Linked DNA regions of Arabidopsis thaliana. The protein of the gene in region 1 interacts with the protein of each later gene in a pairwise test. Each region holds a gene or a part of one and is shown on either strand. Other genes may lie near its edges.

What was found.
Region 2: the proteins of AT1G62085 (region 1) and GATA6 interact in a two-hybrid assay, tested with the Arabidopsis thaliana proteins (one large-scale study listed by BioGRID).

The regions. Positions count from the first base shown.
Region 1 is NC_003070.9:22,947,028-22,952,231, reverse strand, and holds AT1G62085 (Mitochondrial transcription termination factor family protein), read left to right. Parts: upstream 1-1,787; 5' UTR 1,788-2,089; coding exon 2,090-3,475; 3' UTR 3,476-3,914; intron 3,915-4,192; 3' UTR 4,193-4,389; downstream 4,390-5,204.
Region 2 is NC_003074.8:18,971,546-18,975,660, forward strand, and holds GATA6 (GATA transcription factor 6), read left to right. Parts: upstream 1-1,580; 5' UTR 1,581-1,795; intron 1,796-2,087; 5' UTR 2,088-2,093; coding exon 2,094-2,351; intron 2,352-2,442; coding exon 2,443-3,123; 3' UTR 3,124-3,347; downstream 3,348-4,115. Other genes in the region: AT3G51070 (S-adenosyl-L-methionine-dependent methyltransferases superfamily protein), read left to right, coding at 1-179, 262-456, 539-746. UniProt on the Arabidopsis thaliana protein: Transcriptional activator that specifically binds 5'-GATA-3' or 5'-GAT-3' motifs within gene promoters. May be involved in the regulation of some light-responsive genes.

The DNA.
Region 1 (5,204 bases):
TTCTGCCATCGCCATTGTCCTGGTTGTTCTTGGTGTCCTTTTCATCTGCCTTCGAAGAAAGCCACCAAGTAGAGAGGGTATTGTATTTGCAGCAAACTCATCAATCTAGATATTTGATTAAGTACCATAAAAAACTATCGAGTTATTACATAGATTTTGTTGAATTCTTGCTTGCAGCTCCACACTCATCAATCGAAACAGTAAAGAGAAGATTTACTTATTCAGAGGTTATGGCAATGACAAATAATTTCAAGAAAATTATTGGTGAAGGAGGGTTTGGAATCATCTATCACGGTCATCTGAACGATGGCCAGCAAGTAGCTGTTAAAGTACTATCTGAATCATCATCCCAAGGATACAAGCAGTTCAAGGCTGAGGTACTGTATGTTTAATATATCATCCTCACAAATATATCTTTTAAAATCATGCTTCAACGGGCTAAGATGTTTTTGCATATGGTCAAAATCGCTTCCTAGGTTGAACTTTTAATGAGAGTTCATCATGTAAACCTGGTAAACCTTGCTGGATATTGTGATGACAGCAACCACTTAGCACTGATCTATGAGTTCATGGAGAATAGAGACTTAAAAGAGCATCTCTCAGGTAAACATAAATCCACACCACCTAACTTAATGATTTGAGTATTATGTTGTTTCGATGTCAATAACATATCTTGGTTAATACAGGAAAAGAAGGCTCCTCATTCTTGGACTGGCCATGTAGACTAAAAATAGCTGCAGAAGCTGCACTTGGTTTGTGTTTTGTCATAATCCATCTTCAAAGATCACTCTATATACAGTTGTGTTCATATTCCCTTCGAATTTCCATCAACTTTTTAACTTGTTAATCATATCACTTTGTAGGATTGGAATACTTGCACACAGGATGCAAACCACCGATGATTCATAGAGATGTTAAAAGCACAAATATATTGTTGAATGAAGACTTTCAGGCAAAACTCGGTGATTTTGGACTTTCGAGATCTTTCCCTATCGGGGGTGAAACTCATGTGTCGACAGTTGTTGTCGGAACTCATGGATTTCTCGATCCTGAGTAAGCATTGTTATAGCTTTATGTCACCAGCTTCTAATTCTTGTTATCTTCCTTCTTTAGTTATCACAAAACTCCTACAAACCATCCTTTTGCAGATATTACCAAACACAGCGGTTGTCCGAGAAGAGTGATGTCTACAGTTTCGGTATTGTCTTACTAGAAATCATCACAAACAAACTTGTGATTGATCAAACTCGTGAAAGGCCTCATATAGCAGAATGGGTGAGGTATATGCTTTCAATAGGTGATATCGAAAGTGTAATGGATCCAAACCTTAAGGGGAAATATGACTCTAGCTCTGCCTGGAAAGTTCTTGAACTAGCGATGTTGTGTTCGAAACTTTCTTTAGCAGAAAGACCAAACATGGCTCAAATTGTTCATGAACTAAATGAGTATCTATTGTACGAGAACTCAAGAAGAGAAATCAGTCAAGATGTGAGGTCAAAAAATTCCAGTGAAGTGAGCACAAACACCGAAATGGCTCCTATGGCACGTTAGATCAGGAGTCTTGTCAAGTGTTTTGTAGAATGGCAAAACGACTACCTTCACCTGAGGTTGTGTCATAAATCAGAAGTCTTGTCAAGGATCTTACCTTTTATGTATGAATCTCGGAAAGCCCGATTTTTACTTTTGTAATTTGACGACATGTTTCTTTTTGTGTGCAGTTCCGACTTGGAAAATAACTATATTTTCAATTTCAATCTCTTTTCCGAAACCTTGAACTCTGTCAGTGAGTCCGATATGTTACTTTTGATGTTATTTGTATTTTATATTCAAAAATATTTTCAAATCATTAACGAAGAATCATAAACCCTAAAAATCATACCTTTTTTTTTACTCCTCATTCCCCAATTTAGGGTCGGTCTGTGTGATTTTGGATTTCATGAGATTTTGATAGTCGACCACCCGTCGATCTTTGGCGGCACTCGATCTATGGTTCACTGTAACTTTTGAATTTTGAGACTAATCTTCGTAGCCTGGTCGATCCATTTTCACGAACTGAAGAATCAGATAGATTGCTTCTGAGCCTCCCGTCATGTATTCTCTGATACTCCATGGAAAAAGGTTGGTCCAGTTGAAGAAATGTCGTCATTTAAGCGTTCCAGTGAACCTCCTCGAAAAGGCATCTCCTTTTTCCAATTCCTTCTCCTATGCTAATGCTACAGATGCGAGCCTTAGAGCTGGTCGAAAAGGGTTGAGTTTTTCTGTCTCTTACCTCGTTGATTCATTGGGTTTACCTAAAAAGGTCGCAGAATCGATCTCAAAGAAAGTCAGCTTCGAGGACAAAGGCAATCCTGATTCTGTTCTGAGTCTATTGAGAAGTCATGGGTTCACTGATTCTCAGATCTCAAGCATCATTACGGATTATCCACAATTGCTAGTAGCTGATGCTGAGAAATCAATTGGTCCCAAGCTTCAGTTTCTGCAGTCCAGAGGAGCTTCAAGGTCTGAGCTCACTCATATTGTATCTACAGTTCCTGAAATCTTGGGGAAGAGAGGGGACAAAACTATCAGCATATACTATGATTTTGTTAAAGAGATTATAGAAGCGGATAAGAGTTCCAAGTTCGAAAAGTTATGTCATTCTTTGCCAGAGGGTAGTAAGCAGGAGAACAAAATCAGAAATGTTTTGGTTTTGAGAGAATTGGGTGTTCCTCAAAGGTTGTTGTTCCCATTGCTTATATCTGATCACCAACCTGTCTGTGGAAAAGAAAATTTTGAAGAATCACTCAAGAAAGTTGTTGAGATGGGTTTTGATCCAACCACCTCAAAGTTTGTCAAAGCTCTTAGGGTTGTTTACAGATTCCGCGACAAAACTATAGAAGCAAAAGTTAATGTCTGTAAAAGTTTAGGCTTTTCTGTTGGAGATGTATGGGCAATGTTTAAGAAGTGTCCTTCCTTTCTGAATTTCTCTGAGAACAAGATAGTTCAAACTTGGGAAACCCTGAAGAAGTGTGGACTACTCGAAGACGATGTCCTCTCAGTGTTGAAGAAGTTTCCACAATGCATTAATGCTTCAGAGCAGAAGATAATGAACTCCATTGAAACATTTCTAGGCTTAGGATTTAGCAGAGATGAGGTTGCAATGATAGCCAAGCGCTTTCCTCAATGCCTTATTTTATCTGCAGAGACAGTGAAGAAAAAGACTGAGTTTCTGGTGAAGAAGATGAATTGGCCACTAAAGGCTGTGGTTTCAACCCCTGCGGTACTTGGATACAGCTTAGAGAAGAGGACTATCCCAAGGTGTAATGTAATTAAAGCTCTCATGTCCAAAGGATCGCTTGGAAGTGAACTCCCTGGAATGTCGTCTGTTTTGGTATGTACCAATGAAGAATTCTTATGCAGGTATGTGAAGAACCATGATGACAAGAAGATAGTACCTGAGTTGATGGCTATTTTCACCGGAGATCGCGTTTCATAGATCAGAAGTCTTGTCAAGGATTTTGCTTTTATTTTTGAATTTCTGAAACCTTGATTTTAGACTTCAAAAGCTATCCAACTTGGAAATGTAACTTTTAATGTAATGTTGAATCTTTTATGATATATTACCAAGATTGGTAGCTTAGAAACGGCAATGCAGCCAATTAGTAGACATGTGAATCCAAACTATGTGTTTGCTGACTTTAGTTTTCTAAATAATTTTTCTTCTCACTTTTTGCTGACCTTGTTCGTCTTGACTCTTGAATTTTTACTGACCTTGTTCAGGAGCTGCATTGCACACAAGGTTTCTTGACTGTCTCTATACGTCTTGAGTTTGGATCATGTATTGTCTTATTTCTGTATCATGGTTTTTTGAACTGCAGATATGGATTGAAATTTGGAATGATGCAATGCAGCTCCTGAGCTCTTGGATTGGTCATGTAAGCCTTTTTTGTTTCTTTATTAGTGTTTGGTATTTGGTCTTACTGGGAGGCTTTAATTTCACTACAATTCATAGTTTTGGGAATAGAGCCAACTTCTCTTATGATACTTTAAAATCTTGCTACGGTGAGATTCTTTTGCAAGTGATTTGCTTCGTCTCTGTCATAAGTTTTTGGATCATATGATTCCACATTGCTCGTTTTTGTCATATTGGTAATATTGGTCTTTACTTGATTGGATATCACTGAGACACTTAAATGCTATCTGATATCATTAGGACTCTGGAATATAGCTATCATAGTGGAAACCGAAGAAGCTTGAGACCTTTTTTAATCTTGTTGAGCTGCTAAGAGAGTCGTTTCAAGTTCAATACTTTACTCTGAAAACCTTTTATACCAAGGTGTAACGTACTCAAAGCTCTCTTGTGGAAAGGACTGCTCAGAAAGAGAAGTGAGCTACCTGCAGTGTCCTCTGTTTTGTCGATGAAGGATTTTTAGATTGGTATGTGATGAAGTACAACGAGCTGATGCCTGCGTTGATGGCTATCTTCACCAAAAGTCGTGTTTGTTATGAAGCACAACGAGCTGGTGCCTACGTTGATGGCTATATTCACCAAAGGTCGTGTTTCATAGATCAGAAGGCACACCTACAACAATGAGCAGTGCCAAGGTTTGTTCTTATTTTGTTGTTGTCAGTTTTAGATTTCTAGATGAATCTTATGATGTGATAATGGAAAAACGAAAGAAAAGCTTTTGTTAAAGTATCTATGAGTGATATCATGATATGTCAAAAATGTTGCATGGATACATTGATTCTTTAGTACTTGTTACGAGCTGCTAAGAGAGTCGTGTCAAGTTCAATACTTTTCCTTGTCATTTAACATAATTGCTTGTCTGTTTGGATTCTATTGTGCGGAAGTTATGATTTATATTTTCAGATTCATATTTTCAATTAGGAAGCTTTAGTTGGAATCAAAGTGGATGACCCTGATTGAGGATTTTAATGATCGTTGTGAGAACCTTTCTTGTAGTTAGTTGGTGGATTGTAAAAAAATTATATGTATTTAACTCTTGATTGAGAGTCAGAAGTTGGAAAAATGAATTAAGAGGTTTTCGAATAAGAGATCACAGTTATAGTATAGTATTAATTGGATATCACAATCTATTCATAATATTAGCTAGTTAGATAAAATTGTGTTTGATCTTGGCAAGAGGTGTTAAAATAGTATCATGTTGACATGTTGGTATGACTATTAGTCGTAATTTAAGCTTATGTATATTTCTTGTAAG
Region 2 (4,115 bases), on another chromosome or scaffold:
ACACCGCCTTACTGGTTAAACAGCTCTCAAATGGGGATATATGGGAAACCAGCTCCTCGAGATTTCACTACAGATTATGAACACTGGAAACATGTTGTAAGCAAAGTATACATGAATGAAATAGGAATCAGCTGGTCAAATGTGAGGAATGTAATGGACATGCGAGCTGTCTACGGAGGGTGAGCATCAACGAAAACAAATCAAACTAAAATCTCACTTACCAAAACTAAACCTTTTTTTACTAACTACGTAAAAATGCAGGTTTGCAGCAGCTCTGAAGGACCTACAGGTGTGGGTAATGAATGTAGTAAACATAAATTCACCAGATACACTACCGATAATCTACGAGAGAGGCCTATTCGGAATATATCATGACTGGTGTGAATCATTTAGCACATACCCTCGAAGCTATGATCTCTTACATGCAGATCATCTTTTCTCAAAGTTGAGAACAAGGTATAAGCGTAACTCATAATATCCACACCTTTTGGTAACGTTTCATCAACAATAAGTCTCTTGTTTTGTTTTGTTTTGAAAGGTGCAATCTTGTTCCAGTAATGGCAGAAGTGGATAGAATAGTAAGACCAGGAGGTAAACTAATAGTTCGTGACGAATCAAATGTGATAAGAGAAGTTGAGAACATGTTGAAGTCACTGCACTGGGATGTTCACTTAACTTTCTCCAAACACCAAGAAGGAATCTTAAGTGCACAAAAAGGATTCTGGAGACCAGAAACTTCTCAATGAAAGACGCTCTGAGAATCTGCATTTGAAAGTAGCAGAAGCATCATTATAATACAACACACTACTCATATCTATAATCCCCAAAAGAATTTGTCAGTATAAGAAATAGCTTTAGTCTTCTTAAACTATATAGACTAATTAGAACATTTTTGTTTTCCTTACTTCATATTGCTTTTTTTAACATGGTTATGATATTCTCTTGTAAGGCTATGAATCATTTCACTGGGAAAAGTAAGGCACACCAATAAATGAAATTTTGTTCCAACAAGTAGAAACATAGCAGTAATGAAGAAGAGATTATGATGCTTTAGCGATACCACAAGCCAAATTCACCATAAGCTATTGACAGGTAGCGAAAAGTCAAATTACAAAAGGAATAAAGTAGACATGAAATGAAACCAACAATCTTAAGCCCACATATGAATTCAAAAGAGAGGTTAAGAAAGAAGAGAATCTGACATCATGGGCAGAGTAGGAGCTGAAGAAGATGGGTTTCTGCAAATTTGAAGCTTTTAATCGCATATCGCTGAGTAATCATCACAAACAGTTTTGAATTGAAGAAGACGGGAGGAGAAAAGCCATTGTTAATGAGATACCCAAATCGTAAAATTTCAGAAAGCCCAGCCCAACATAGCCCAATACAGCCCAAATATGTATGTGATTGGGTAACGAAAACGAGACCGTTCTTTTTTCAGTCATCTCTCGTTTCACAGTAGCGCGTATGTACGCTTTGAATTTACAAAAAGTAGACATTTTTATGAATTTTTGCCGGTTGAGTAAAAAGGTAAAAAAAAATAGTTCCCACCAAAGCAAAATATTTCAATTTTTATCTTTTTTTTTTGGTTCTTGGGAAAATAAGAGATTGAGAAAGAATAAAGAAGAGAAACTCACAACTTTTTTAGTTTTAGGAGAAGAGGGCTTTGGTCTGGAGTCACTATCATATTCAATGCTTTACCAAACTCACCTCTTCTTCTAAATTCTCACCACTCTTCTTCTTCTTCTCATTCACCGACATATCTCCTCTCTTCACTCTCTGTCTCTTCTCATCTCAGGTAATTCCAATTTTAGTTTTTTTTGAAGGTTACTTACTCGTCACATTGTTTGAAAAAGATTGAATTTTTATCTGTGGCTTAGTCAAATCATGGTTCGTTTCACCAAGTTGTGGTTCTGGGTTTTCGTGATTTTTCTTTTGGGTTTTTCTGTTTGAATTTGGAAAAATAAAGGAACGTTTTTTTTTTCGGGGGGAGTTTTTTTTTTAAAGATAATTTTTGGAGAGTTTTTGATAATTCTGAGGAAGCCAAAAGAAAAGAAGAAAACCTAATTTGTGTTGGTGGGGTTTGATAGGAAATAATGGAGAGTGTTGAATTGACGTTGAAGAACAGTAACATGAAAGACAAAACCCTAACCGGCGGCGCTCAAAATGGCGATGATTTCTCCGTCGACGACTTGCTTGACTTCTCAAAAGAAGAAGAAGACGACGACGTTTTGGTTGAGGATGAGGCTGAATTGAAAGTACAACGAAAAAGAGGAGTCTCTGACGAAAATACCCTTCACCGGAGCAACGATTTCTCCACCGCTGATTTCCACACTAGCGGGCTTTCCGTTCCGGTATGAATTTGTGTTTTCATTTTCGCAAAATTTATAAAAATTATCAGTCATTGCATTGTTAATTTCTTGCTTTTCATGTTTTGATTGTTAGATGGATGATATAGCGGAACTTGAATGGTTATCAAATTTCGTAGATGATTCTTCTTTCACGCCGTATTCTGCTCCGACGAATAAACCGGTTTGGTTAACCGGAAATCGGAGACATCTTGTACAACCGGTTAAAGAGGAGACCTGCTTCAAATCCCAACATCCGGCCGTCAAAACCAGACCCAAACGAGCCAGAACCGGAGTCAGAGTCTGGTCTCATGGTTCGCAGTCGTTAACCGACTCATCTTCAAGCTCTACAACATCTTCGTCGTCCTCTCCTCGTCCTTCAAGCCCTCTATGGCTCGCCAGCGGTCAGTTTCTTGATGAGCCAATGACTAAAACACAAAAGAAGAAGAAAGTTTGGAAAAACGCTGGTCAGACGCAAACGCAAACGCAGACGCAGACGCGGCAGTGTGGTCATTGTGGAGTTCAGAAAACGCCGCAGTGGAGAGCAGGACCATTAGGAGCGAAGACGTTGTGTAATGCGTGTGGTGTGCGTTACAAATCGGGTCGGTTACTACCCGAATATAGACCCGCTTGTAGCCCAACATTTTCGAGTGAGCTTCACTCAAACCACCACAGTAAAGTCATTGAGATGCGTAGGAAGAAAGAGACTTCTGACGGTGCTGAAGAAACCGGTTTGAACCAGCCGGTTCAGACGGTTCAGGTTGTCTCGAGTTTTTGAAGAAATTGTGGAAGGTTTTTAAAGGAGCAGAATTAGGATCCGACCCGGTTCAGATTTATCACCAGTTAGTATGTTAACGGGTTATGTATGTTTTAAATTACAAATTTGATTTTTTGTTTGTTAGTCGTAGTAGGTTTTTAGATTTAGTAACTGGTTAAAACTTTTAAAACTCTTACTATTATATTTGTTTTGTTTCGCATTAATTTTCAGAATTCTTTTTTTCTTAACCTCCTCTAACGTTATATTTACGTTATAATATATAGTTTTTATATTAATTGATAGAGATGGTTCATTTTCTAGTTAGAATGTATGCTCAATAATTATTGGTAGACTGATAGTTATCAAGTGTATAAAATATGAGATCAATTTATACCAAATTAGGAGTAGGCTTTATTTCAGGGTTAGTAACTCCAATTTTTTGTTGTTACTTATTTATATCCATCACATTTTCTCTTGTATTTCTAAAATTGACATAATATAACTGAAAAAAAAAACAAATTTCACAAATAAAAATATATACAATAACTGAAAAAAGAAAAATAAACGTACTGGGCACACTCTCTTATTGACTAATTTATTACTCTGCGTATTTTTGGAGATTGAATACGACCTTAGTTGACGTGATAATATTATCCATTTTTGCAATGTGATAATATTCGTTGACCATATCTTTGAGATTATCACGAATTACCAATTTACCTTGGGACTTTATTCCTCGTATGGTTTTAGTTGAGTTGACTATTAATAATAGCTTTTAGTACGTGTTTCGTAAATGCTGCATAATATGTAACTAACTAAACAATTCGAATATATATATACTAGTTTTAACATTCGTCTCACACGCTTAGCTTTCTCCTTCACAACGATGAAAACGTCTCCTGATTTCAAAAGTGAGATCATACTCTTTTTTAATTTGCTAATTTTTTAATAACAAATCATATGTTTTTCTTTTGGCTATATTTAAGGGAAAATTACACAAGAAGCATAAACAT